3 linked regions of the Rhinolophus ferrumequinum genome follow. The protein of the gene in region 1 purifies or fractionates together with the protein of each later gene. This does not show direct contact. Links are inferred from orthologs where the notes say so. Each region holds a gene or a part of one and is shown in the gene's direction. Other genes may lie near its edges.

The links.
Region 2: the proteins of CDK8 (region 1) and MED23 purify together in Homo sapiens (affinity purification with mass spectrometry; 10 studies listed by BioGRID and IntAct, counting the BioPlex papers as one, with this or other methods). This does not show direct contact. The link is inferred for Rhinolophus ferrumequinum from reciprocal best matches to the Homo sapiens genes CDK8 and MED23.
Region 3: the proteins of CDK8 (region 1) and MED24 purify together in Homo sapiens (affinity purification with mass spectrometry; 13 studies listed by BioGRID and IntAct, counting the BioPlex papers as one, with this or other methods). This does not show direct contact. The link is inferred for Rhinolophus ferrumequinum from reciprocal best matches to the Homo sapiens genes CDK8 and MED24.

Annotation. Positions count from the first base shown.
Region 1 is NC_046287.1:98,622,270-98,626,018, forward strand, and holds the start of CDK8 (cyclin-dependent kinase 8), read left to right. Parts: upstream 1-1,470; 5' UTR 1,471-1,995; coding exon 1,996-2,123; intron 2,124-3,749.
Region 2 is NC_046286.1:78,969,232-78,972,980, reverse strand, and holds the start of MED23 (mediator of RNA polymerase II transcription subunit 23), read left to right. Parts: upstream 1-1,287; 5' UTR 1,288-1,520; coding exon 1,521-1,568; intron 1,569-1,912; coding exon 1,913-1,944; intron 1,945-2,102; coding exon 2,103-2,190; intron 2,191-3,749. UniProt on the Homo sapiens protein: Required for transcriptional activation subsequent to the assembly of the pre-initiation complex. Component of the Mediator complex, a coactivator involved in the regulated transcription of nearly all RNA polymerase II-dependent genes.
Region 3 is NC_046304.1:36,566,445-36,570,193, reverse strand, and holds the start of MED24 (mediator of RNA polymerase II transcription subunit 24), read left to right. Parts: upstream 1-1,230; 5' UTR 1,231-1,387; intron 1,388-1,570; exon of another isoform or gene 1,571-1,772; intron 1,773-3,749. UniProt on the Homo sapiens protein: Component of the Mediator complex, a coactivator involved in the regulated transcription of nearly all RNA polymerase II-dependent genes.

The DNA of each region.
Region 1 (3,749 bases):
CTCTAAGAAAGGAAATGAGGCTCTAAGGATATGTTACTGATAGATGACAAAGCAAGATTCCAATCCAGATCCACCTAACTGGTCAGTGTACACCAAACACTAAATAAGATTTAATGTACTAGGTAAAAACAACATCATTTACATCAGTAGTGAGGTCACTATTTTCTCCAAGGAAATTTATATAAGAGAAGAACCCTTTTGAGGATTTTTCATAAAATGGTATCATTGTCATCATCTTACATGGTTTTTTTTGACATAAACATGCTTACTCATTAATTCAACAAATTTTTCCTGTGCTTTGCATCCAAGGCATTATACTAGGTGTTATGAAAGATGCACATATGACTTCCTATAGGAATTTGTAATATAGCAAGAGAGAGGAGTAAAAGACAAATCAATTTAATGAATACTATGGAAAGGTGAAAAAAGTGTTAGGGGGTTAAAAGTGGGAGAGATTATATATGCTTTGGGGAGTGGGGAGCTTTGGTGGAAACGGTAGCAACTGGAAAATGTAAAATAAATACAAATATAAAATTAAAATAAAAAAATAGACATCTAAATAAGAGGGTTAAGGCAAAGTGAGGGATTGTTGTCAAGATATGGGGACTCCTCCAGCTGACACCATTCCTACCTTGAAATGATTAACAAATAGTTTCCATGGATTTATATCCACTGCTGTAATCATGGCTAAAAATTGCTGTTCTTATCGGCAGGGGTGCAGAAGGTCATTCTCAAAATAAAGTCCTCTCTGAATGGATGGGAAGCAATCGGGTGGTCATCCACCCCAAGAGTAACACTATTTGCGCATAGGATCAGTATGGACACTCATCATTGATTCACTCTTATTGATGTTTGTAACGTATGTCAGTGTTATCATTGTGCAACCCTTATCAGATAGTGAACCGCAAGAATACACAAGTGATAGTCCATGAGCTGTTTACAAATATATAGACTTTTTTTGATAACGATGATGTCCTTTAATACCTGAAGTTCAGAAGTGGCACAAAGTGTGATGTCAATACAAACTAGCCTCCCTCACACGTGAATTTCTTTGGTTAAGTTTACGGCCCAAATCAGACACTAACGATATCGCTGCTAAAAATAATTTTTCCTAAGTGATTGAAACTAATCTCACTTTGGACTACTAATTCCATCATGCAACGCTCCTACATGTACCCACTGTATGGGGTGGAGTCGTAGAAGGGGCGGCAACAGCGGCGGCTAGTGCATTCTGGGCATTGTAGTCTGGGGCCCTGGCCGCCGTCGGGACGGTCCACGTGGTGAGTTTGGCGGCAGCTTTGGGCAGTGGCTACCCGGCTCCCTTCACACTGTCCTGCGGGTACCGGCCCCGGCGGGGGCAGACAACCGCTGCGGAGCGGGCTGGAGGGAGGGCCGGAGGTAGCCCGAGCCTTCGCGACGTTTTTGCGACAGCCGCGGCCGTGTTCCGCGATTCCCCTCCCTCCTCCTCTCTCTGAGGAGGTACCGGCTGTTGTGCGGGGCTGCCTTTCTGTTTGAGTGTATGGGAGAGTGAGTGAGTGAGTGAGTGAGTGTGAGCGTGTGTGTGAGAGAGGGTGAGGCGTGAGTGCGCGTTTGAGAGGACGAGAGCCCGCCGTGGCCGCCCCGCCGCTCCCCGCAGCGGGAGCAGAACGCGCGGCCGGAGAGAGCAGAAGAGCCGGCGCCCCGGGAGTCCGCGGGGACAAGGGCAGAGACACCCGCTCCCCACCCCCAGCCCTCGTCCCTCTGCTCTCCTGCGCCCGGGGGAACCTCCCCGTCCCACCCCACCCTCGGCCGGCCTCTGCCCCGCTGCCTCCCTGGATGTCCCCGGCGCTCTCGCGGGGCCTCCTCCTGCTCTTGCCGCATCGGTCGGGCTGGTGCTGCGGCCGCCGGGTGTAGAGCGGGCGGGTTCCCGGGGGCTGCGGCTGCCGGTGCTTCCCGGGTCCCCACCCCTGTGCCCCGGCCCCCTGACCCAGCTCCCCGGCCTCGGAGGCTGTGACAATGGACTATGACTTTAAAGTGAAGCTGAGCAGCGAGCGGGAGCGGGTCGAGGACCTGTTTGAATACGAGGGCTGCAAAGTTGGCCGAGGCACTTATGGTCACGTCTACAAAGCCAAGAGGAAAGATGGGTGAGTGTTTGTGTCTGTGCCGGTGTCCGCGCTGGGCGGCGCTCCCGCAGGCCCAGGCAGGTAGCCGGCAGGGAGAGCGGAGCGCTGGAGTGCGGGGCTCCCACTTCCTAGACACCCGCATCTGTCCCCGCCAGCCTGGTTCGGAGAGGAAGTGGTGGACGAAGGATCCAAACCCGCACGCAATGCTGCGTGCTGCTGCCTCTGTTCTACTTTGGTGGCTCATAGGGAAAAGCAGCCTCTACCCCACGGGCTGTATACTTTTCAAGGGTTTCGGTACCAGATTTTAAAAAATAAATTCGTTATAAAACGTCAGTTTAAATGATTTGGGGGGGGGAGGTGTCGATTTATTATGGTAACCTGGGGATTTCCTCACCCGCTTCTGGAGTGACATCCATAAGTCTGGAAGGGAAGCTGTGATCCTTTCCTCCACCAGTTTGTGATTGATTTTTTTTTTTAAATCAAATTTGGATTTTATTTGGGGGAAGAGAGCAGCCGGTAAATCCGGTTCTGAAGAGTTCCTCTGTGATCATCTGCAACATAAATGTAGCAATTGCTATTTAGATACCATTAGCTGTGGGTTTTACATAGAACAATGGGGGTTGGTGTAGGGTGGGTGGTGGGGAAAAAGGCCAGTGACACACAGGGGTTATCTTGTTCAGGCCGTTCCCCCCCAAATTTAGCAGCTGGCAGTGAACTTTAAATAGGCTCTTTGCTTTAAAGATTCTTCCCTAGAAATAATTAAGTCTATGACTGGTAATGCTCCCAATTTAGTTTCTTAAACAGGCAAGTGAAGTGTTCATTTTTCCTTTGTCAGTAGATGAATGTCTTGTAATATTGACAAAAGAGAAGGCAATTCTTAGTTGAGGAGAAAAATATATTTAATTAAGTCCTTGTTTTCCTCTTGTAAAAATGGATGTTGTCGCTGTTGCCTTTGACACTATAGAAAATTGCTGGAAAGACAATACCAGAGCTTATTATATAATCTTTAGATTTTATTATAAACAAAGTAGCTTTACTTGAACATCGCTGTTAGTTTGGTTAGCTGCTGTTTAACAATTAAAATAATTGTTTTTTCCCCCCAAATTAGGTAGGAGGATATGTTTAGAACTATATGAGCAGTAAAAAATGAAACCATTCATAAAGCTGAAATAAGTTACCTACGGGGTGGGAGGGAAGCCATATTTATAACTACTTTAGTATTCTGGATATTGGAAAGGAAGTGTATATCAACATTTTTCTTAGATTTACGGAGATATCTTTCAAAAAAACTTAAAATGGACTCTAAGTAAAATACTAATTCTAATTAATTTGGAATGTGCATTTCAGTGCTTACATGCAGCAGTAAAGCAGTACAGATATCTGCAAAAGGTAGGGATTTGCAAACTTGATACTCTGGGTGCTGCATGTACTGAAAAGTACTTTTTAGCAGAATGGGTAGTCTGGTGACATTTGAGAAATCAACGTCTGGAGATGGTGTTGACTCTTTTTTAATTATATTTCTCGTTGAGGTATTACTCTGTAATATATTTTAAAAATTGTCCTTGTTAACTTCCCATATAGTATTTTTCCAGCCTTAAACCATTTTCCCATCCCCCAATGTTATGTAATTTGGGGTATATTCATAAA
Region 2 (3,749 bases), on another chromosome or scaffold:
TTGATGGAGGTGGTAGTTAAACAACTGTGAACATTTGTCAAAATTCATGGATCTATACATTTAAAATTTATGTATTTCGTTGTATATAAATTATACATCGATTTTAAAAATGAATATTGGGGGAAACACATTAAGAAGATCTAGAAATAGATGGTCAATTTTTATTCAATGAATGGAACATCAACAAGAATGATATAAAAAATAATTTGTATTTAGTTATGGCCAAAACATAATTCTTTCCTGGCTATTTTACCTTGTTAACTGTACAAGCCCTGGCCCATATTAAGATTAGCTGGCATTTGCAGAGAATACACTAATTTGGAAACAGAGTGGAAGCATGAAAATCTGCTTGATAGTAGATGAAAACCATTTTAGAAGAGTATGTGATTAAAGGTAATACACTATAAGATAATTTGCTTAATATAGAAAAAAGAACAATAGATTGTTAGGGAACTTGGGTTTTAATAATTCTAGGTCTGTCATCCTAGCTTGGACATTCTGCAAAATTGATTACTGCAATAGTTCATTAAACACCTAACACTGTTTCTAGCACTGAGTGAATGGTGGATAAATACTCCATAAATGAAGTACTCTACTAGTTATGCACAAAGGTGTTTTATGAGGATAAAGAAGAGACCCCTAAATCAGGCTGAAGAAGGACAAGGTTTCCCGCTTGAAGGAATAAAGCCATGGGGTGTGGGGAGGCACAGCAGTCAGAGCACTTAGGTATCTGCTCTGACCACACCAGTGGATCAGCCTTCCTCTTTGCCACCCTTCTCCACCCCATCCCCATCAAATAGGCTACAGGTATTCAGTAATTGATAAATATTATTTTTAGATTATGATAACTAAAAATGGTAAATATTGTTATTCCAATTAAAAATCAATAATGATGCATTCTTTTTTTTAACATTCATTGAAAACCTGCTATGTGTCCAGCACTGAGGTTACCATCGTTGAGAAGATATGATATCTGTGGTCAAGAAAAGTATTGTTTCAACTCCTGGCTCCAGGCTGCTGATGGAGCTGCAGGACAGAAAGTCAGCAGCCATCATCAGTTTGACCCAGGGTGCAGGGTGCAGCAGAAACATTGCCTGCAGACTGCAGCCCCTGGCATCCAAGCTTTTCTCCTTTCCAACATGCAAAAGCTTTAGACCCGAGGAGGAAGCAACACCCGCTCCTGCCAGGAGGTGGCGGCCTGCAGCGGACAACGCCTCGACGTGACTTATGCTCGAGGCGCCGCTTGGGGGCGCTCTCTTCTGACTCTCGGAACCATCTAGCTAGGTCCCTGGTTTCCGGGGGTTTTGTAATCGGAAAGCACCATGAGCTTCCCGGTGCTTCCTTGCAGGCCTCGGTTGTTTGCTGGACCTTAGAGGGGACTCTTTCATTTGAGCGTTTGGGGTGGAAAGCGATCGGTTCGACCTGCGATTTCCTGAGGGCGTCTCCGCCCCTCTTTCTATTCCCCGGAGCTCGGGCCTGATCGCAGGCCGCGCGCCGGGCGCCCAAGGAAGGCGGGGGTGATGGTCCAGATGGAGACGCAACTGCAGAGCATTTTTGAGGAGGTGGTGGTGAGTGAAAGGGTCAGGGATTCAGGACTACGGCCGGGCGAGGGGGAGTCTTGGGGGCATCGGATTAAAGAATCCGGCTCGGCCAACTTCTCCCCACCTCTCCTTGGTTGTGACACTGTGTATGTGCGCAGAGGTTTAGCGATTCTCAAACTGCTGTCAAATTCAAAGCCTCCTTGAAATCCACAATAGGCATTGTGACAGGTCAGGCAGGCATTGTTAGTTTCTGCGTGTAGGTGGTTAAGGTGACTTGCCCTATGTTACACCAATGTTTTGCTCGGGGAGGCCCCTCCTTTTTTTTAGTTTTTAATTTTTTATTCATATCGTTTTGTTTTGTTTTGTTGCAGAAAACGGAAATTATAGAAGAGGCTTTCCCTGGGTGAGTATATGCAGAGCAGATTTTTGTGTTTTTACGTGGGTGTATCTTTGTTAAGATTTTACTCAGTTTTGTCTTGGAGATTTATAAGATCCACAGTTCTGGTTATGTTGAATTACCTTTTTAAAACTAGTGGCAAATAACGTGATTTTTGTTTATAGCATGTTTATGGACACCCCTGAAGATGAAAAAACAAAACTAATTAGCTGTTTGGGAGCCTTCAGACAGTTTTGGAGTGGTCTTTCCCAGGTGAGTACTGCTTTTTTAATACATTCAGCTAATAATTTTTGACCCCTTCTTTTTTTTACACTTACTTTGATGTTGCTGTTGGAAAAGGGGAGATAAAATTGTCGTCATCTTTTATGTCTATTCTGGTTTCCATTTGTTTCAATTTGTATTCCAGTGGGGAACCTGTATTGAGAATTCAAGTTGATGACAGTACAGTGTGAGATGTCTTTAAAAATCTCCCATGTTAGATTACATAAAACCATTTTTATCCTATTCTCATTTATTTGGTGTACTTGAAAACAGCTGTGTTAGGGATTATAAAGGATAAAAATTTCATTTTCTCAACAAAGGAACTGGCACAGTATTGATATAGAGATACTATAGTAAAGATACAGAAATGCCACAATAAGGATCCTATTTTATAATAAGGATATAAAGATATTATAATAAAAAAGAGGAAAGGAACAGTAAAACTTAATAACAAAGAACAGTCACCAGAAAATATATCCCTGAAAAAGACAAAATGTGTGATCCTTAAAGACTTCATTGTCTTTTTATGGTTCATTATAGGTAGGAAAATGTTTGCAGTTAAACCATTGGTGGTAAGACTTGCTACTCAGACATGGATCACGTAATGATAAAACATTCTTTTTTTAAAGTGTTGTAATGCAAAAGGTACAAAAAGGTGGACCCAATTAATAGTCTGTCTTTCATCTCTTTAGTTTAATTACCTTTTCTTTTTTCCATCTGTAGCCAGGATTCTTAGTTTGTATTTCCTTCTAGAAGTATTTTATGCATATAGAATCGTTTTTATAGAATGGTCATATATTATGTACACTGTTCATTAGCACCTTGCTTTTTTTCACCCTTAATACCAGAATTAATTAATTCTGAAAGTAATTCTACAACAATCCACTAAAAATTAAAATTTCTGACTTCCTTCCTTGCTTCCAGCATATTTGTTTTATGGCTACACCTTCCTTTTTTTAACCAGTCCCCTAGTGACTGACATTTAGGTTGCTTCTTATCTTTTCCACCTTAAACAATGCAAAATGATTAATGTTGCACATGGGACAGAGAATAAATTCATGGAAATAGTATTGCTGAATGAGCAGGTATGGCTATTTGTAATTTTTATGGAAATTGCCTGGTTGCTTTCCATAAGGCTCACCAATTTATACTCCTAAACATTAGCAATATTTAAGAGTATATATTCCCTACAGCTTCACAATAGAGTGTTAATGAACTTTGTGATCTTTGCCAATCTAAAACATGAGAAATTTTATCTCAGTATATAATTTTATTTTGCACTTCTCTGATGTTGACCATCTTTCCAAAAGATTTAAAATGTTTGATAATTTGTTAAACATTGTATGAGTTAAGGTATGGCCCTTATCTGCAAGAATATTATATTCTAATGAGAGAGCCAAGAAGAAAGTAATATTTGTAAATCCACATTATATGATCAACAACAGAAGTATGTGTTAGGGACAGTGGTAATGAAGAACAACGGGACATAGGCTCTTTTGAGGATGTCCTATAAGACAGACTTCGATATGGGCAGTACATTTCAGTATCAG
Region 3 (3,749 bases), on another chromosome or scaffold:
ACAAATGCATGCCTTGCACCATTACGCAGGAAAGTCTTTTCACACAAATTTAATTTCCTTGGGAGCAGGGGTTTTGTTGTATACAGAACCTCAGAGATCCACAGTAGAAGTCCAGGAAAATACTTGTTGCTAAGTTGTGTATACATGTGTTGATGTGTAACTACGTTTGCATTTGACTGAGTAACAGCGACTGTCACGGCAGGCGTTGATGCCTGTGTGACTGGGCTCATGCAAGCACGTGTGTGCCTGTGAGTGACAGGGTCTTTTGTAATGTGCGGCGGTGTGCAATTGCTCTGTGTTCATGTATGCATGCGATAGTGACTTTTTCTGTGTGGGTGACAGCGACTCCTCCTTGCCCCTGTGTGTGACAGCGTCTCCGTGTGACCCTGTGCGTAGGTATGTGCATGGGTCGGTCTCCCGTGGGTGTGTCCCATCCCTCTGAGCTCCCCAGTGCAGCAGCAGCCTGCCACTTCCCTTGTTCCCATGTGGGTGTGTCCAGTAGCTCCTGTCCTTGAGTACGCCTGGGTGTCCCTGGGTGTGCATGTGGCTGTCTATGTGGGCATATCTTGGTGTCTGCATGTCACATTTGCTTCCCTTCTCATCTTGGACAACAGTCCCCTTCATCCCTTCCCCCTCCTGGGGCCAGAGCCATCATTGAGGGGTGGGCTACCATCCCACTGGCTGCCCTCCTTCGACCTCCACCCCTGGAAACAGTGGCTCTCTCCATTGCCCCTATCACTGCCCCCCTCCCCAGGCCTTTCTTTCACACGGGACAAGGGAGGGCCCCAGACAGAGAAGGGGCACCAGAGGAGACACGTTGCAAGGGGAGGGGAAAAGGGGGGGTACACACAACACAGGTCCCTTCCTCCCTCTCTTCCCCAACCACCCTAGCTTGCAACTCTAATCATCTGGGGACCCTCAAATACACTCCCCCCCAACACACACACATACACACACACACACCTCCACCCCACCCCCAGCCGCGTTTTTTGCAATTAGGAGTGTTGCAACCAGAGAGCCATGCTCAACTGGGGAGGCGGGTGGAGGGGGGGGCTTCCCTCTCCCGGGACCCTTGCAAGCCCACTCCCCACGCCACACGTACTGCCCTCCGCAGCTGGAGGCAGCTTTGCAAAGGCCACTCGGCCTCGGCCTGGAAGGCTAGGGGTGGGGGCTGAGGGGCAGGCCTCCCGCGCACCGTAAACAAACCGCGGCGCGGCGCGGCGGGCGGGGGCGCTCGGCGGCCGGCAGCGGGGCCGGGCCCGGGAATGCGCAGCAGACGGGCCGGACAGAGGCCGGGCGGGCCCTCGAGGGGGAGGCCTGGACGCCATCTCCGCCGGCGAACCCTGGGGCCCACCGACCTCCTAGCAACACCTCCCTTCCTCAGGGCGTAAGTTGCAAGCTCCCGGGTTGTGACAGGGTCTCAGGGGCGTCGGGGGCAGGCTAAGGTTGGCGGCGGGTCCCCCCCGGACGCCCCCAGCCCGCCGGGAGCTGGCCAGAGAGCCCTGTGGCTTTGCATAATCAATCGTGAGGTATTTGCATATTAATACCCCCCTCGCTCCCTCCCCCTTACCTCGGCGTGGCGCGCTGGACAGGGCTGGAGAGCGACGCGGGGTCTCAGCGCCCCGTGCCGGGGGCGTCCATGGGGGGCCGGTGGGGCCCGGGCCGCCCGCCTCCTGCGCCCGGGTGTGAGTGCGAGTGAGCGCGGGGGGGCGGGGGGCGAGTGTGGCGGCCCCGCGGCTCCTCCGGCAGAGGCGGCGGCCGCTCTTGGCTCCTCCCTCCCCCGCCCCGCTCCGGCTGGGGCTCTTGCTCGGCGCGCCCGGCCGGCTCGCGGCTGCTCCCTGCAGGCCGCCTTGCCGCCGCCGACCCGCGCCCCCCGCCCCCCGCCGCGCCCCGGGACCCCGGCCAGCCAGCCGCCCGGCCGCCCCTCGGCCGCCTCTACACCCGCCCAGCTCGGACTCGCCCTCCCCACTCCAGGCGTCTCCGGCAGGAGTGATACTGGGTGACATATTTTGAAAAAGATGTCATTTAAAAAATAGTCTTCAGTTGCTGGAAGAATGGAAGGTTTTGGTGTTTGCACCATGGGGATGGAGAAGGGAGTATTGACGAGACGCCTGCACCTTATAAGTAGGGCGAAAGTCTAAATACCAAACCCTTGGAGGTTTCGAGTTTGTTTCTGAGTTCGGGTCTCTTCTCTGCCAGTAACTCACTGTGTGACCTTGAGCAAATCACCCCTGCTGTCGGGGGCAGAGCTTCCTCAACCTTAAAATACCAGGGTTCGGCAGGTGACCCCTGAGGTCCTTTTAACTTCAATCATCTATGTTTTAAATTCTTTTGGAGTTTTACTCGCCATTACTCGCCATTTACTCGCTTCCTTCCCCTCTCATTTCTAACATCATTACCTGATCCACTGCCTCCCCTTTCAAATGTCACCCTATTTCAATATAGGCTCTTTTTATTCACTGTCATCAGCCATTTCCTCAACAATCTGGTCCTCTTGCTCGGCTGGGGAGGGGGCAAGACTTGCTCTACCCCATCAACTCTCAGCTTCACAGAGGTGGTATTTCCTTCCATGTTTACCCCCACCAAAATCCAAATGGTATCAGGGCCAATTTAAGGAAGGCAGCCTGCATAAAAATGGATGCCCTTCCCCTACCATCCAGCTCCCACCCACCCCATTGCACACACACACACCTGCACTCATGGACATAAAACCATCCCAGTGACGCCAGAGCCCCTTTCATCTCGGGATCTCCGAGCGCCAGGCAGAGCTCTAATTACCCCAGCACCCCCTCTGGCCCCGCCGGTTCCCCTGCTGTCATTAGCCCAGTTTTACCAGCGGGGGCCACAGCCTTCCCACGGCTTTCAGGGCTGGGCCCTGTTTCCACAGTCTGCTGTTGGAGTGTGTGTGTGTGTGTGTGTGTGTGTGTGTGTGTGTGTGTGTATGTGAAGGGGGAGCTGTTCTACAAAAATCACTTGCTAAGTGTGGGGCTTCTGACCAACAGCCTATCTGAGTTGGGCTGCCCTGGTTCATCTCAGTCTCAGCCACCTGCATCCTCATCTCTGTTGCAGCCACTTCGCTTACAGGGGGCATTGGGGTCTACCGTGCATGGGGAGGGGATGGAGCATCTCTTGGGACCCGCTGGAATCATGGGGATGAGAAGCATCGCTGGGATGAAAGCCTGGGGCTGCAGAGTGGAGTGCTGGTGATGAGGGGTATGCCATGGGTGAAGGGAGCCTGCAGTGTGGAGTTGTGGCAGCTGCAGTAGGGAATGGAGGCTGCAGTATGCAGAGTCAGCATGCAGTCAGTGAACCTGTGGGTTCGGCCTGGGCTCACAGTGGACATGCAACAGCTGCAGCGTGGGGCAGAAGGCTGCAGCGTGCAGTGTGAGGTGCATTGAGGGTAGCTATCTGCCCTTGATACCACCTCCTGGGTGATCGGGTTTCGCTGAAACCCTGGGGAGCAAAGCTGTGGTGTGCAGCGTTCAGGGTGCACGCTCTACCCTGTGTGGAAATAGTCTCTTGAGATTGGGCAGCCCAAGGAGTCGGGGGAGAGAATCCCAAAGCATGGGATACATTTATGCTCTGCATCAATCAGGCAGAACCAGGAGGCAATGGAGAGGTCTAGCTGTCATCTAATTAGGGCAGGGTGACTGAGTCCCGAGGGAAGATGACAGTACTATGGTTTTGTCTCCCCTCCATTCTGGCTTCCCCTACCACATCTCTCTATGACGAAAGGCCTTAAAGATACT